Alligator mississippiensis: one gene and its partner. The protein of the gene in region 1 purifies or fractionates together with the protein of each later gene. This does not show direct contact. Links are inferred from orthologs where the notes say so. Each region holds a gene or a part of one and is shown in the gene's direction. Other genes may lie near its edges.

Region 1 (7,069 bases):
TAAGGGGGTCGCCCGCAGCCCCCGCACCGGCCGCCCGGCACTGCCACCAGACCCTGCCCCGCCCGCCCGCCCGCCAGGTGAGGGGCGGCCCACGGCGGGGCTCGGGCTCGTGCTCGGGCACGGGGGGGCGGGCAGGAGGGCCCTGTCTGCAGGGCGCTGGGGCGGTGTCCAGGGGGGTTGGGGCGGACGTGGGGCAGCGCCGGGGCGGCCTGGGGCCGCGGGGCAGGCGCCATAGCGGGGCTGTAGGTGGGGGCGTTGCGGGGCGGCGGGGGCACGGGGCCGGGGCGGCGGGGGCAGGCCGCGAGCGCGGGCCCCGCGGCGCCCTTGGCGGGGATCGGGTTTCCCCCGCAAAGGTCAGCGCGAAACCCACGCGCGGCGGGCCGGGGGGTGCAGTGACGCAACCCCAGAGCCTCCCAGGCCCCGCCCCCGGGACGTCACTGCGCGGGCGGGGCACGGCGTGGGGGAGCCCCAGGGCAGCCCCGGGGGCAGCAGGGGCGTGGCCCCCCGGCCGCGCCCGCGCGTGACGTCGGCGCGGCGCCCCGCCCCCAGCCCCTAGCCCGCCGCAGCCCCACGCGGCAGCGCAGTCGATCCCGCCGCCGCCGCTGCCGCAGGTTGGCTTGGGGGGGGCGTCGGGCCGGGGGGGCTTCGGGCCGGGGGGGGGGCGTCGGGGTGGGGGGAAGCGCCGGGGGGGCGCTGCTGGGCCGGGCGCCTGGCTCCCTGCCCCCCCCGCCCTTGGAGCGACCTTGACTCCCGGCACCGCCGCGCGGAGCTCGGGCACGCGGGCCCGGGGGCTGCCATCGCCCCCCCTCCCGCCCCGGCCCCCTCGGTCCCGCCCGCGCCCCGGGCACACGACCCCCCCGGACACTTGCCCCCACCCGCGGCCACGACCCCCCCCCGACGCCCGGGTCCCGCCCAGGGGGGGCCGGAAGCGGCCATGCGGAAGGCCGCGCGCCGCACGTCCCGCGCGTAACCCCTGCGCTCCCGCAGCCGCCAAGATGCCGCACCCGCACCCGGCCCTGACGCCCGAGCAGAAGAAGGAGCTGGCGGACATCGCCCACCGCATCGTGGCGCCCGGCAAGGGCATCCTGGCCGCCGATGAGTCCACCGGTGCGGGGCGGGAGTGCAGGGCACGGGGGGGGGGCTGCGGGGCGGGAGTGTGGGGCACGGGGGGGGGGGGCTGCGGGGCGGGAGTGGGAGGCACGGGGCACTGCAGGGCCCCCTGTGTTAACCCCCACCCGCCCCCCTGCAGGCAGCATCGCCAAGCGCCTGAGCTCCATCGGGGCAGAGAACACCGAGGAGAACCGGCGCTGGTACCGGCAGCTGCTCTTCACGGCCGACGCGCGCGTGGATCCCTGCATTGGCGGCGTCATCCTCTTCCACGAGACCCTCTACCAGAAGGCCGACGATGGGCGCACCTTCCCCCAGGTCATCAAGGCCAAGGGCGGCGTTGTTGGTATCAAGGTAGGCCCCCGGGGGGGTGGGCAAGGTGGTCATGGGGACTATTGGGGGGGGGGGAGGGGGCCGGGGTTGGAGGTCTCAGGAGGCTTTTACCTTGAACCTGGTAGTTGGGGTGCAGGAGTGAGGAGTGGAGGCCAGGGGTCGGGGCAGTACTGATGAGGTTCCCTCTCCCCCACCGCAGGTGGACAAGGGCGTGGTGGCCCTGGCCGGGACCGATGGGGAGACCACCACCCAAGGTGAGTGCCTGGACACCAGGGTCTCGGGGCTGGGAGTGGTTGCATCTGGCAGGACAGGCATGTCTGCGGGGTTTTCCCCAAATGCCTGGGTCCTGAGCCTCATCCCCCTCCCCAGGCCTGGACGGGCTTTCTGAGCGCTGTGCCCAGTACAAGAAGGATGGGGCCGACTTCGCCAAGTGGCGCTGCGTGCTCAAGATCGGGCCCCACACGCCCTCACGCCTCGCCATCCTGGAGAATGCCAATGTGCTGGCCCGCTACGCCAGCATCTGCCAGCAGGTGGCCGTGGGGCAGGGCTGGGGGCAGGGCTACTTCCTCTCCCAGGAGCTAGCAGGGGGTGGGGCTAAGACTGAGGGCAGAGCCAGAAGGGCACAGGCAGCATCTGCCAGCAGGTGGGGCTAGAGGGGCTGTAGGTGGGGCTGGGGGTTGGGGTCAGGGCTAACAGGCTCATCCCGACCTCCCCCCATGTCCTTCTAGAACGGCATTGTGCCCATCGTGGAGCCCGAGATCCTCCCCGATGGCGACCATGACCTGAAGCGCTGCCAGCACGTCACCGAGAAGGTGAGAGGGGTCACTGCAGTGAGGGGGCACTTACCAGAGGCTGGGAGGTGGGAGATCTTTGGGGGGTGTGGCCAGAAGGAGCCCCGCCTCTTGGAGGAGCTGGAGGGAAGATGCAGCAGTGGATGTGGGTGGTGTGCTGACCAGTCCTGCCCCCCCCCAGGTGCTGGCGGCTGTGTACAAGGCGCTGAGTGACCACCATGTCTACCTGGAGGGGTCACTGCTGAAGCCCAACATGGTGACACCTGGGCACGCCTGCACCACCAAGTACAGCCATGAGGAGATCGCCATGGCTACCATCACCGCGCTGCGCCGCACCGTGCCACCTGCTGTGCCCGGTGAGACCTGGGCCTGCCCCTGGCTTCACCCCCTGTGGCCCTGCTCCCTATCTCACCCCTGACAGCCATGCTCTGGGCATGCAAGCCAGGGTAGGGGAGGCTCCACCATCTCCTTGACTCCACCCCCTTGCCCATTAACCCCCTGGGTGCTGTGCCTATGCCCAGGGTCCCCTGCTCCAGCCCAGCCTGTTAACCCCGCGAGCACTGTGTCACGCCGGCACTGACTCCCTCCCCCTTCACAGGTATCACCTTCCTGTCCGGGGGGCAGAGCGAGGAGGAGGCGTCTCTGAACCTCAATGCCATCAACAAGTGCCCCCTGCACAAGCCCTGGGCCCTGACCTTCTCCTACGGGCGGGCGCTGCAGGCTTCAGCCCTCAAGGCCTGGGGCGGCAAGAAGGAGAACACCAAGGCGGCCCAGGAGGAGTACGTCAAGCGCGCTCTGGTGCGTACTGACCTGGCCCGCGGCGGGGGGAGAGTGACCTCTGACTTGCAGAGGGGGTGGGGGAGGGGAGCCTGGACGCTGGGTTTTTTGTGCTGCTCTGACCTGTCTTGTCTGTCCGTCTCTCTGCAGGCCAACAGCCTCGCCTGCCAGGGCAAGTACGCCGGCAGCGGCCAGGCCGGTGCTGCCTCCAAGGAGTCTCTCTTCGTTTCCAACCATGCCTACTAGGCTGCGGCTCCACCCTGCCTGCCCCCCGCCCCTCCCCCATCCCCTTCCCAACTTGGGCTGCAACTATATTCACCTGGACCCGACTGGGGCAGAGACCAGCGGGCACAAGAACCCCGGCCTCCGGGCGGCCCCTCCCCCCCTCCCCCTCCCCCTGGTGAGCAACACTTCCGGCTCCCGCCCCCCCTCCAGCTGCCCGGTCTCCGGGTGGGGGCGGGCGAGGCCCTAACTACACTGAGTTACTGAATAAAATGAATTCATGAAGATATGTGTCCTGTGCTCCTGGGCCTCGGGGGTGCGGGTTTCGGGGGTCTAGGCCGTGGGCCCCTCTGGCCCCCAGGAGGGGAAAGGAGCCAGGGTGGGGGGGGGGCAGGGTTCTGGCCTGTGTCCCCCACACGTGACCGCAGCAGAGGGAATGCATGTCCCTGCCCGAGTAGCCTGTCCTGGCACAGGCCCCTGCTTGCTGACGTCACATGCTCGGCCTAGGGCACAGGAATCCACGCTCGGGTGACATCACCTTCGCCCATCCCTCGCTCCCCTTCCCCGCCACTTCCGCCCCGTGACGGGTGCCTGGGTAGCACTTCCGCCCTGGCTCTGATGTCATTCATCATGCGCCCCCTCATTTCCCGTGGCATTTCGGCTCTACACGTCAGTTCCGCCCGGCCCTACACTTCATTCTGGCTGTTTGCGTAGCATACGCTTTTACCGTTACTTCCGCCCTCACCGTGACGTCGCTTCCTGTCCCTCACCTTTTCTTTCTTCCCTTAGACGTCCCAAATGCGTCACTTCCCGCCCGTCTCTCAGGCCTTCCTCCTTCCGGTTGTGGAGGAAGGGGGGTGTCCGGACGTGACGTCGCGCCGGCGGGGGCGGGGCCACGAGCGGTGGGAACCGGTGCGACGCGGGGCCGCCGCCGGGACCAGGTGCGGGGGGGGGGGGTGGTGCATATGCTGGCGTCGCAGCGGCAAGGATCCGGGCCGGGGGGGGTGCAGTTCCGGGGCCCCCGGGGCGGGTCAGGCTGTGGGGGCCGGTTCCGGGGGCAGCTTGGGCCAGCGTGGCCTGGGGGCAGCTCCTGGGTAGCGTGCGGGGCCGGGGGTGCTTGTGGGGCCCTGCGCGGGGGCCCGGGCCGCGCTCACCCCGACCCCGCGTTGCCCCCCAGCCATGGCGGAGCTGAGCGACCTGGACCGGCAGATCGAGCAGCTGCGGCGCTGCGAGCTCATCAAGGAGAGCGAGGTCAAGGCCCTGTGCGCCAAGGCCCGGTGAGCGGGGCGGCAGGGCTGGGGGCGCCGCGTAAGGGGGATCCTGCATCGCAGCCGCCTCTGGGGAGCCCGCACCGGGGCTCGGGTCAAGAGCTCGCGCAGTGCGGCTGGCTCTGGGGGGCCCGGCTGCTGTCTGCATAGAACAGAGCTCTGGGGCGGCAGGACGGGCCCCGCGGGGCGCTGGCTGTGGGGGACACGGGGGCAGGACGGGCCCCGCGGGGCGCTGGCTGTGGGGGACACGGGGGCAGGACGGGCCCCGCGGGGCGCTGGCTGTGGGGGACACGGGGGCAGGACGGGCCCCGCGGGGCGCTGGCTGTGGGGGACACGGGGGCAGGACGGGCCCCGCGGGGCGCTGGCTGTGGGGGACACGGGGGCAGGACGGGCCCCGCGGGGCGCTGGCTGTGGGGGACACGGGGGCAGGACGGGCCCCGCGGGGCGCTGGCTGTGGGGGACACGGGGGCAGGACGGGCCCCGCGGGGCGCTGGCTCTGGGGGACACGGGGGCAGGACGGGCCCCGCGGGGCGCTGGCTCTGGGGGACACGGGGGCAAAGGCCATGAATAACTGGTGTCCCTGCCTCTCCCTGCCTAGGGAGATCCTGGTGGAGGAGAGCAACGTGCAGCGGGTGGACTCCCCAGTGACGGTGAGCGGGGCTTGGGCAGGGGTCCCTGGGCCAGGAGGGTCTAGGCCAGAGGGCATCAGGGCTGCCCTGTCTCACCCCCCCCCCTTGCCCCCCCCAGGTCTGCGGTGACATCCACGGACAGTTTTATGACCTCAAAGAGCTCTTCCGGGTGAGTCCTGCCCCCCACAAACTCCACCCTGCCCCCCCCACTGCAGGCCCCCCCTTACCCCTGCTGCCCCCCAGGTGGGCGGCGACGTCCCCGAGACCAACTACCTCTTCATGGGGGATTTTGTGGACCGCGGCTTCTACAGCGTCGAGACCTTCCTGCTCCTGCTGGCGCTCAAGGTAGATGCCCCCAGCCCCCCCAGGGCACTGGGCACACAACTGGGGTTGGCATGCTCTGGGGCAGGGCGGCTGCAGGGGGTAGCTGGCAGGGGAGGCTTGGGGGACGGATGCAGCCGGCTCTGGGCTGGGCCCCACTGGGGACAGGAAGACTTGTGCCCTCAGGCTGGAGCTGGCTCTAGGGTGTCACAGGCACTGAGGCGGCTGGGCCTGGGGTTGAAGCATCCTGTGGCAGCAGCCAGGTACCACAGGGGCCAGCGTTGCAGCTACCTCTGGGGCCTGGTGTTTAAGTGGCCAAGTATAAGAGGCCTGGGCGGTGCAGCTGGTTTTGTGGGGGTGTGGGTGAAGCCGGGTATAATAGGGCTGAACAGTGCTGCGGGCTGTAGGGTGGGATGTTATACTTGGCCCCTGACGCATCCCACCCCAGATCCAGCTACAGCACTTGGGCCTGTTATACTCAGCTGCTGACTTGCTCTACCCTAGAGTCAGCTGCATTGTTCAGCTCTCCTGTACTCATCTGCTGTCAGCCGGTTTTGGAGTGGGACATACTGGCAGCTGACTACAATGCGTCCCACCCTAGAACCAGCTGCCTGCAGGCCTGAGCACTGCAGATGGCTCTGGGTGGGGCACGTTGGTAGCCGAGTGTAACAGGCTGCAGAAAGCAGCCAGCTCTGGGGTGGGATGTGCTGGTGGCCAAGTGTAAACCCCCCCCCCCATGGCCTCCACAGGTGCGGTACCCAGACCGGATCACGCTGATCCGCGGCAACCATGAGAGCCGGCAGATCACGCAGGTCTATGGCTTCTATGATGAGTGTCTGCGCAAGTACGGCTCCGTCACTGTGTGGCGCTACTGCACCGAGATCTTCGACTACCTCAGCCTCTCAGCCATCATCGACGGCAAGGTGCCCCACCCCGCTCCCAGAGACCTGGGTTCCCTGTGGGGGAAGAGCAGGGGGCTGAACAGTGGGAGCCTGGACACTTGGGTTTTCCAGCGGGCAATGGTTTAGCCTCTGGTCTGGGATTCCCCTGCCTGACCCATGCCCCCTCTTCCCTGCCCTCTCAGATCTTCTGCGTGCATGGGGGACTGTCGCCCTCGATCCAGACGCTGGACCAGATCCGCACAATCGACCGCAAGCAGGAGGTGCCCCACGACGGCCCCATGTGTGACCTGCTCTGGTCTGACCCTGAAGGTACAATGGAGGGGGCAGCAATGCAGCCAGCTCTGGGGTGGGGCAGATGGGAACAGCAGGCTGTGATGCTGCCCAAGAGGGCTTGGTCAGCCCAGTGATGCGAGCAGCTTGCAGGTGGGTGGTGCTGGCAGCTGGCTGTAACAGCACCCTGCCATGCAGCTGGCTCTGGGGTGGGTGGTGCTAGTGGCCACACATAACGGGCCTTGTCCCTGCCTTGCAGACACGACGGGCTGGGGCGTGAGCCCGCGGGGGGCCGGCTACCTGTTTGGCAGTGATGTGGTGGCCCAGTTCAACGCATCCAACGACATCGACATGATCTGCCGAGCACACCAGCTCGTCATGGAGGGTTACAAGTGGCATTTCAATGAGACTGTGCTCACAGTCTGGTCGGCCCCCAACTACTGCTACAG
Region 2 (7,553 bases), on another chromosome or scaffold:
GCCAGGCCCTGCCCTGAGCTGCTACCTCTGGTATTGTCCTCAGTGCTCAGCTGTCTTTCCCTGGGCTGGGGTCTCTTGGGCCTGGCCCTGTGTGGGGCTGGTGGTATCTCCCCAGCTCGGGGGCTGCATAGGGTCTCTGCCTCCTGCCATTAAACTTGGTGCTTGCTCACTCCATGGGCCTCATCCTTCCTTTGCTGCTGCTCCATGCCTTCCCTGGGCCCTGTGCTCGTGGCTCAGCAATGGGGAGGAGGGGGGCCCGCATGGGCCTGGCAAGGAGATCCCTGAGCAGGAAGGACGGGGGCCCTGGCATGGCATCTGAGGGGCTCTCCTACTTTCCTGCTTCTGCTGCGAGGGGGGTGGGCAGGCCTGTGCCCTCTATCCGGTGCCGACGGGCTGCGGGTCAGCACTTCCCCAGGCGCTGGTTCCGTGTGCGAACGGCTGCTCGTAGCGCAGGGGCCTGGTGGGAGCTCTGCCTGTTGCAGGCTGCGTCGGCCTGGTGGGCCTCAGCTGAACACGGACAGGCCAGGTCTGCTCCACCTGCGGTCAGCACAGGGCAGTTGGGTGAAGGGGGCTGGGATGCAGCCCATGCTCAGCTCCGCACAGCTGCTGTCGTGCTGCCCTTGGGGTGTGAGACGCCCCAGCCCCAGCAGGCTCCCACCCGGCTGTAGGCTCTGTCGTGGCCTTGACCAGGAGCTTGCTGTGGGCAAAGGAGCTGCCCTTTCCCTGCGCTACCTTGCCCAGTTCCCCAGCCCCCAGGCATAACCACCTCTAGCCTGGTTTGAGCTGTGGTTGCTGCCTCTTTCAGCCTATCCCAGCTGGCCTGGACTCCATCTGCACTGGCCCAGGGCTCCTGGAGCTTGTTTCCACATCCCTTCCTTGCTGCAAGCCCTGGATCCACTGTCCTTTTTGCCGCCGGGTGATCACTGGAGCCACAAGACCCCCGCCACACAAGGCCAGGGGTGCTGCACCAAGCCCCCAGCCCTATTGGGCTGCAGGGATGGTGCCACAGGGCAGAGGCGGAGGGATGGGCCCTGGCACAGAGCACTGCGCCAAGGCTTCCTGGCAGCCCCTGTGCCAGGTGAGCCCTGCAGCTGCGGCAAAACAGCACCAGCTGCCCCAGACCGTTTGGCACCCAGTAGGGGAAGGGATGGGAACATCCTTGCGCTATAGTTCCCAGAGCAGACAAAGGGAAGAGCACCTCCCCCCATTCCCCTGTGCGGCCAAAAATCACTCTTTTGCCAGTTCCCAAAATGAGCACAGCACGTCCCGATCTGAGCAAACGCCAGACTGGGGCCAGCTGAGCCGGGTGCAGGGGAACAAGGACATGCCTATTGCAGCCCCCTTGCCCCCGGCCTGGGACCCTGGGCTGGCAGTGGGGCAGGCTGGGCTGTGGGTGCCCCTGTCCTTAGCAAGCAGACATCCTCTCCCAGGGCCCTCACTGACCCTGTGGTTCTACCATGAGGAGACCACTCTGGAGGTGTTGAGGGTGGGCTCACCTCCGGGCCCTGCCAGCTGGGCACAGGGCTGAGCTACTGCACCCTTCCTGGACCTGCTGTGCAGCCAGGCGTGGTGGCAAGGGGCCTGGCCTGGTCATGCTCCCAGCTCGGTGCAGAGGAGAGATCTGAACCCAGGTTTCCCAACCATCCCACCCCCCCGGGTCCCCTTTGCCCCATGCATCAATTCCGGGCAGTGCCAGGGTGCTGCAAGCACCTGGGCAGCTGGCCACATGTTTGTTTGTGGCTCACTGCTGGGAAGGTCACTGCCCGGGCAAGGCTGCATTGGGGGATAAAGGCAGCGTGGAGGGAGCCCCCCTGCACAGGCAGCCGCAGCAGCCAGAAGAACAGCAAGCCACAGCTATGGGGTGAGTGCTGCAGCTGCTCTGGGGCCCAGGGGATAGGGTCTTCAGCTGCTGGGGCCGCGGGAGGGTGTGGTAGGCACTGGGGGAGGCTAGGACATGTGCTTTAGGCAGTAAGCGACTTCCTGGAACAACTGCGCCCCAGCCGTGGCACTGCTGTGGGGAAGCCTGCAGCACTGTGCCTCAGCAGGTTACAGTGGGCTGAGCAAGCCCCAAGCTCACGGGACCCAGGGGACGGGAGGATTCTCAGCCCGACACCAAGGGCCCGGCAGCTCTGCTCACACAGCTCTTCTCACAGAGCCCCGATGCTGCTGATCGCCACTTTGGTGTGGGGGGTGCTTGCCACCGCCAGCGAGGGCCCAGACACACAAGGTAGGGGCAGGGGCCTTGGCGGGAAGGGGCTGGGCTGGGTAGGAGGACTTGTCTGCCCCACCGGCCAGCGCTGCCAGGTGAGCCCGGGGGGTCGGGGCAGGGGCTGCCCAGCATCTGTGGGCCCGCCTCGCTGCTGCTGTCACTGTGGGGTGCAGTGGAGCGGATCCACTCCCGGAGGGGCTGCTGCCTGTCCCCAGTGTCCCCTGCTGGGACCTGGCAGTGCAGGAAGGAGGGTGCCTGGGGGGCCGTGGGGGCCATGTGCCAGCTGCAGCTGACGCCGGTGCTTGCCCCGCAGCGTGCGGGAAACCCAAGAACTCGCCGCAGCCGTTGCAGCGCATCATCGGTGGCCGTATGTCCGGCAAGGGCCTGTTCCCGTGGCAGGGCCGGCTGGTGTCGCCACACAACCTCACGGCAGGGGCCACGCTCATCAGTGACCAGTGGGTGCTGACCACAGCCAGGAACGTCTACCTGGGGCAAAACGCATGCGCCAGCCCTGAGGACATCGCCCCCACCCTGAAGCTCTTCCTGGGCAACAGGGGACAACTGCCCGCGGGCGCCGTGGAGCGTGTGGTGCTGCACCCCAACTTCAACTCCACCGACTGCAACGCCACCTCCCACTGCAACGCCACCTCCAACTGCAACGCCACCTCCAACTGCCACGCTGCCCCCGGCACCGGCACCGACCTGGCACTGCTCAAGCTGCAGCACCCAGCGCCGCTGGGGCCTGAGGTGCTGCCCATCTGCCTGCCGCAAAAGGACTTTCTGGAGGTGGGGCGCGTGGGCTACGTGGCAGGCTGGGGCAGGGGCGCCACCCTGGCCTTCGCCGAGTGGCTGCGCTACATCATGGTGCCCGTGGCTGACACCAGCCTCTGCGCCAAGTACTACGCGGACGGTGGCCCCATCGGCGTGGCGCCCGACCTGGGCCCCGACAGCTTCTGCGTGGGCATGAGCAAGCTGCGTGAGGACACCTGCCACGGGGACGCCGGCGGCGCCTTCGCCGTGCACGACCCCGACGACGACACGTGGTATGCGGCCGGCATCCTCACCTACGACCGCACCTGCTCCGCCGCCAAGTACAGCGTCTACGCCAGCGTGCAGCACGCCCTGGCCTGGATCCGCCAGACCATGGACGAATCCTAACCCCCCCACCCCCACATCGACCAATAAACCTTGTGCTCTGCCAGCCCTGCGTGGTCTCTGTGCGGGGTGGCTGGACGGGGGGGGGGGGGGGGGGGATCAAGTGCCCCGGTGCTGTGGGGGGGGGAATCAAGTGCCCCAGTGCTGTGGGGGGGGAGGAAATCAAGAGCCCCAGTGCTGCGGGGGGAGGGGGGGGGAAATCAAGTACCCCGGTGCTGCGGGGGGGGGAGGGGAAATGAAGCGCCCTGGTGCTGCGGGGGGAGGGGGGGGGAAATCAAGTGCCCCGGTGCTGCGGGGGGGGAGGGGAAATGAAGCGCCCTGGTGCTGCGGGGGGAGGGGGGGGGAAATCAAGTGCCCCGGTGCTGCGGGGGGGGGGGGGGGTGATCAAGTGCCCCGGTGCTGCGGGGGGGGAGGGGAAATGAAGCGCCCTGGTGCTGCGGGGGGAGGGGGGGGGAAATCAAGTGCCCCGGTGCTGCGGGGGGGGGGGGGGTGATCAAGTGCCCCGGTGCTGCGGGGGGGAGGGGAAATGAAGCGCCCTGGTGCTGCGGGGGGGGGGGGGGGGGAAATCAAGTGCTCCGGTGCTGCGTGGGGGGGGGGGGGAATCAAGCGCTCCGGTGCTGCGTGGGGGGGGATCAAGCGCCCCGGTGCTGCGGGGGCGGGCGGGTACCGGTGCACCGAGGCCCGGGCTCTTCCCCAGGATCGGGCGGGTCGAGGGTCAGGGGCCCGGTGGCTTCCTCCAGCCACCGGCCCCGCCCCGCCCCGCCCCTAGACTGCCCCCGGCCCCGGCCCCGCCCCCAGGTACCCCCCACATAGTCCCGTCCCCGGAACGCCGCGGCCCCACGCGACGCCCCCTGCCGACTGGGAGCGAAGGGGTGCTGCTGCCTGCGCATGCGCACTGCCAGGTACCCCCCCCCCAGGGGGCGGACCGCGCTAGGGTCCTCCCTAGTCGCCCCGCGGCCTCTGTAGTGTCGGGCCGGGCGGCCTGTTCCGTCTCTATGGTGCTGGCGGACTCCAGTGCGGGCCTCTGTACCCTCCCTCGGACTCGATGGTGTTGCGGATCCAGGCCGCGTCTCTATGGCCTTGGCTGACTGGGCCGCAGTCCTCTCTAGCCCCGCCCCGCGCTCTGTGGTGCCGGCGGACAGAGTGGCTGCATCTCTATGGTGCGGGGTGGGCAGAGCGCCGCTGCCGCGCTGCACTGTGGGGCGGGCATGGCGGCGCCGGGCGCTGAGGCGATGGCGGAGGCGGAGGCGGAGGTGGAGGAGCCGGAGCCAGAGCGGGAGCGGGAGCCAGGGCTAGAGCCAGAGCGGGAGCCGGAGCCGGAGCCGTCGCTGCACCGGCTGGAGGGCAGCGGTGCCGAGGAGGGCGGGCTGGTGCTGCGCAAGCACGGCGCGGCCGGCCCGGGCGAGCCTCACGTCTTCCGCGCGCCGCGCGCCTCCCTGCTGGGCCTCGACGTGCTGGCGGCCCGGCGGCGGCGGGAGCGCGCGGGGCCCGGGCCCGGGCCGGGGCCGGCCGAGCAGGCGAAGCGGCCGCGGGGCGCCGGGGACGGGCCGGGGCCGGAGCCGGAGGAGGAGGCGGCGGACGCGGACGCGGGCAGCGCTGGGCCCGGCCGGGGCGGCCGCAGGGACAGGTGCGGGGGGGGCGGGTGTTGCTAGGAGACGCGGGGGGGTTGCTAGGAGACGCGGGGGCCGCGCTGACGGTGCCGCCCGCAGGCACTACCGCTGCGCGCCCGCGGAGACGCCGTCGCACCCGGGCGGGGTGAGCGAGGAGTTCTGGGAGCGCAGCCGGCAGCGCGAGCGGGAGCGGCGCGAGCAGGGCGTCTTCGCCTCCTCCAAGGACGACAGGGAGCGCCGGCGCGAGCGCGGCCGCGACCGGGACCACGACCACGACCGGCAGCGGGAGCGCGGTGAGTGCTCGGCGCGGCGGGGGGGGGGGGGGCGGCTCCCGCGCGGCGCTTGACGGCGCTTTCCTTGCAGAGGAGCGCGACAGGAGCCACCACGGCAGCAGCCGCTCGGAGCGGGACGGCTGGTCCGAGAGGAGCGGCAGCAGGAGGAGCGAGCCGGAGAGCCCCCGGCATCGGCCCAAAGGTAGCGCGGGCGACGGGGACGGGGGTGGGGCGCTGGGGCGGTGGCCTGGGCCCGCTTGGAGGCGCGATCCATCCCCGCGGGGGAGCTGCAGCCCTTGGGGGAGCACGCCGCCCGCCCCGCCCCGTCTTGGGGGGCCCCACGCGGGGCTGCTGCCCCTCCCCCCACACGAGGTCCGTGCTTCAAGCGCGCCGGGGCCCTGCGTAAGCAACGCCAGGCCCGGCCTGCGCTGCCTGCGGGAGTCCCCGAGCCCGGGTGGCAGGGGCTGCGTCCGGCGTCAGAGATCCGCTCCCCTCCCAGATGCCGCCACGCCGTCCTGCTCGAGCTGGGAGGAAGATGACAGCGGCTACAGCACCTCGCGCCGCTCGCACTGGGAGTCGCCTTCACCTGCACCTTCCTGCCGGGACCGTGGCCACCGCACGCCCTCCTCGCGGGACACGGACAGGAGGGATCGGGAAAGGTGCTGGAGCGAAGCCTGGGTGGGGGCAGAGGTTGGGGCAGGCGGAGACGGTGGGGAGGGGGCAGCTTCGGGGAATGCCCCGTGGAGGTGCTGAGGGGCGGCAGGTGCCTGCCTTGCAGGAGGAGGAGGAGAGTGCTTGGGCTGCTAACCAGCAACGCTCCTCCGTGCTGGTGCTGTCCCAGGTCTGTGAGGAGCAAGTACCCAGACAGGACACCGCTTCCTACTCCTTCGTACAAGTACAATGAGTGGGCAGACGACCGCAAGCACCTGGGCTCCACGCCGCGGCTGTCTCGGGGGAAAGGTGAGGGGTAGGGAGATGGGGCTCTGGGGGCCTGACTCCTCTCACGGGAGGCACAGCCAAGAAGTTGGCTGCTTGGGCTCTCAGCAAAGGTCTGGCACTTGCGAGGGCTCCGTGCTGATCAGCTTGTTCTCCCTCAGGGAGGCGCGAGGACGGGGAGGAAGGGATTGCCTTCGAGACGGAGGAGGAGCGACAGCAGTGGGAGGATGATCAGCGGGTAAGAGCCTGGGAGGGAGGGGTGCTGCATGTCTCTGGGTCTGAGGCCCTGAGCCTGGAGCTTTGTCCCAGCGGGGTGGCACCAGGGCTGTCGGGGGAGGTGTCCCCTTGAAGCCTGCTGGGCACAGCTAGGGCCAGCATGGGTGCGTGAGGCACCAGGGCTGGTATTGCAGTAGCAGGTGCCTGCATGAGGAGAGGGGGTCGGTGCGGCATCGGCTGTGGCTTTTGGAGGAAAGGCTGAGGTGTGGGCCCTTTAGTACACTGGGATGGGGCAGGGATGGGTGGGGCGAGCAAGTGTGGCTTGGTGCAGAGCTCAGGCAGTGTGCTCATGGCGTGGGGGTGCTTGCAGCATGGGGCCCTGGGGGAGGGGCCGTCCCAGGGAACAGGAGGGGCTGGCGGCCTGCACGGGCTGCCTGGGGATGGCGGGGGTCGGCCCGCACAGGTAGCCGCCTGGGTCCTGTCCTGGGTCCTGCGCGAGCCGTTGGCTCCCCCGCGTGGCCAGCCTGGGCACAGCACCTCTGCCGTGTTTCCGTGTGGTGGCTCGGTGCAGACGTGGGACAGCCCTCTCCAGGCGCCCGGCTGCACGCTCCCGGGTTGGAAGTCCCCAGCCTCCAGGTGCCTGCGCGTGGGCAGGATGCGCAGCCTCCTGAGTCCTCCGGCTTTTCCCTTCTGCCTGCCCCTCTCCCCCTGGCTGCCACGTGTGCACAGCAAGCCGACCGGGACTGGTACATGATGGACGAGGGCTACGACGAGTTCCACAATCCCCTGGCCTACTCATCGGAAGAGTATGTGCGGAAGCGGGAGCAGCACCTTACCAAGCAGAAGCAGAAGCGCATCTCTGCACAGCGGAGGCAGATCAATGAGGTAGGAGTCGGTCCTGGGCCGGGCCAGGCTGACTCCTGGGGAGCCGGCCTCACCACCTGTTCAGCCAGTGTGTGCATGCGTGTGTATATGCACAGGGGTTGCAGCTCTGTGCTGGGTTGGGGCTGGATCGTAAGAGGATCTGCAGGTGTCGTGGATGCCTCGGCTAGGCAGACCTGGCAGTTCTGGTTCCTTGGCGGTTGGTTCTCCAGCTCCCCAGCCCTTTCTAGGGCCGTTTTCTGGATTCCTCCCTGGACCAAGATTTTCCTGCTA

The links.
Region 2: the proteins of PPP4C (region 1) and DHX38 purify together in Homo sapiens (affinity purification with mass spectrometry; 5 studies listed by BioGRID and IntAct, with this or other methods). This does not show direct contact. The link is inferred for Alligator mississippiensis from reciprocal best matches to the Homo sapiens genes PPP4C and DHX38.

Annotation. Positions count from the first base shown.
Region 1 is NC_081830.1:230,678-237,746, reverse strand, and holds the start of PPP4C (serine/threonine-protein phosphatase 4 catalytic subunit), read left to right. Parts: upstream 1-4,060; 5' UTR 4,061-4,171; intron 4,172-4,407; 5' UTR 4,408-4,409; coding exon 4,410-4,507; intron 4,508-5,096; coding exon 5,097-5,148; intron 5,149-5,245; coding exon 5,246-5,296; intron 5,297-5,370; coding exon 5,371-5,472; intron 5,473-6,197; coding exon 6,198-6,371; intron 6,372-6,532; coding exon 6,533-6,659; intron 6,660-6,879; coding exon 6,880-7,069. Other genes in the region: ALDOA (fructose-bisphosphate aldolase A), read left to right, coding at 996-1,107, 1,250-1,461, 1,640-1,694, 1,810-1,970, 2,169-2,252, 2,413-2,587, 2,830-3,029, 3,159-3,254. UniProt on the Homo sapiens protein: Protein phosphatase that is involved in many processes such as microtubule organization at centrosomes, maturation of spliceosomal snRNPs, apoptosis, DNA repair, tumor necrosis factor (TNF)-alpha signaling, activation of c-Jun N-terminal kinase MAPK8, regulation of histone acetylation, DNA damage checkpoint signaling, NF-kappa-B activation and cell migration.
Region 2 is NC_081833.1:77,516,847-77,524,399, reverse strand, and holds the start of DHX38 (pre-mRNA-splicing factor ATP-dependent RNA helicase PRP16), read left to right. Parts: upstream 1-4,552; 5' UTR 4,553-4,572; coding exon 4,573-4,991; intron 4,992-5,073; coding exon 5,074-5,267; intron 5,268-5,337; coding exon 5,338-5,448; intron 5,449-5,745; coding exon 5,746-5,905; intron 5,906-6,087; coding exon 6,088-6,206; intron 6,207-6,343; coding exon 6,344-6,420; intron 6,421-7,127; coding exon 7,128-7,283; intron 7,284-7,553. Other genes in the region: haptoglobin, read left to right, coding at 1,672-1,861, 2,523-3,367. UniProt on the Homo sapiens protein: Probable ATP-binding RNA helicase. Involved in pre-mRNA splicing as component of the spliceosome.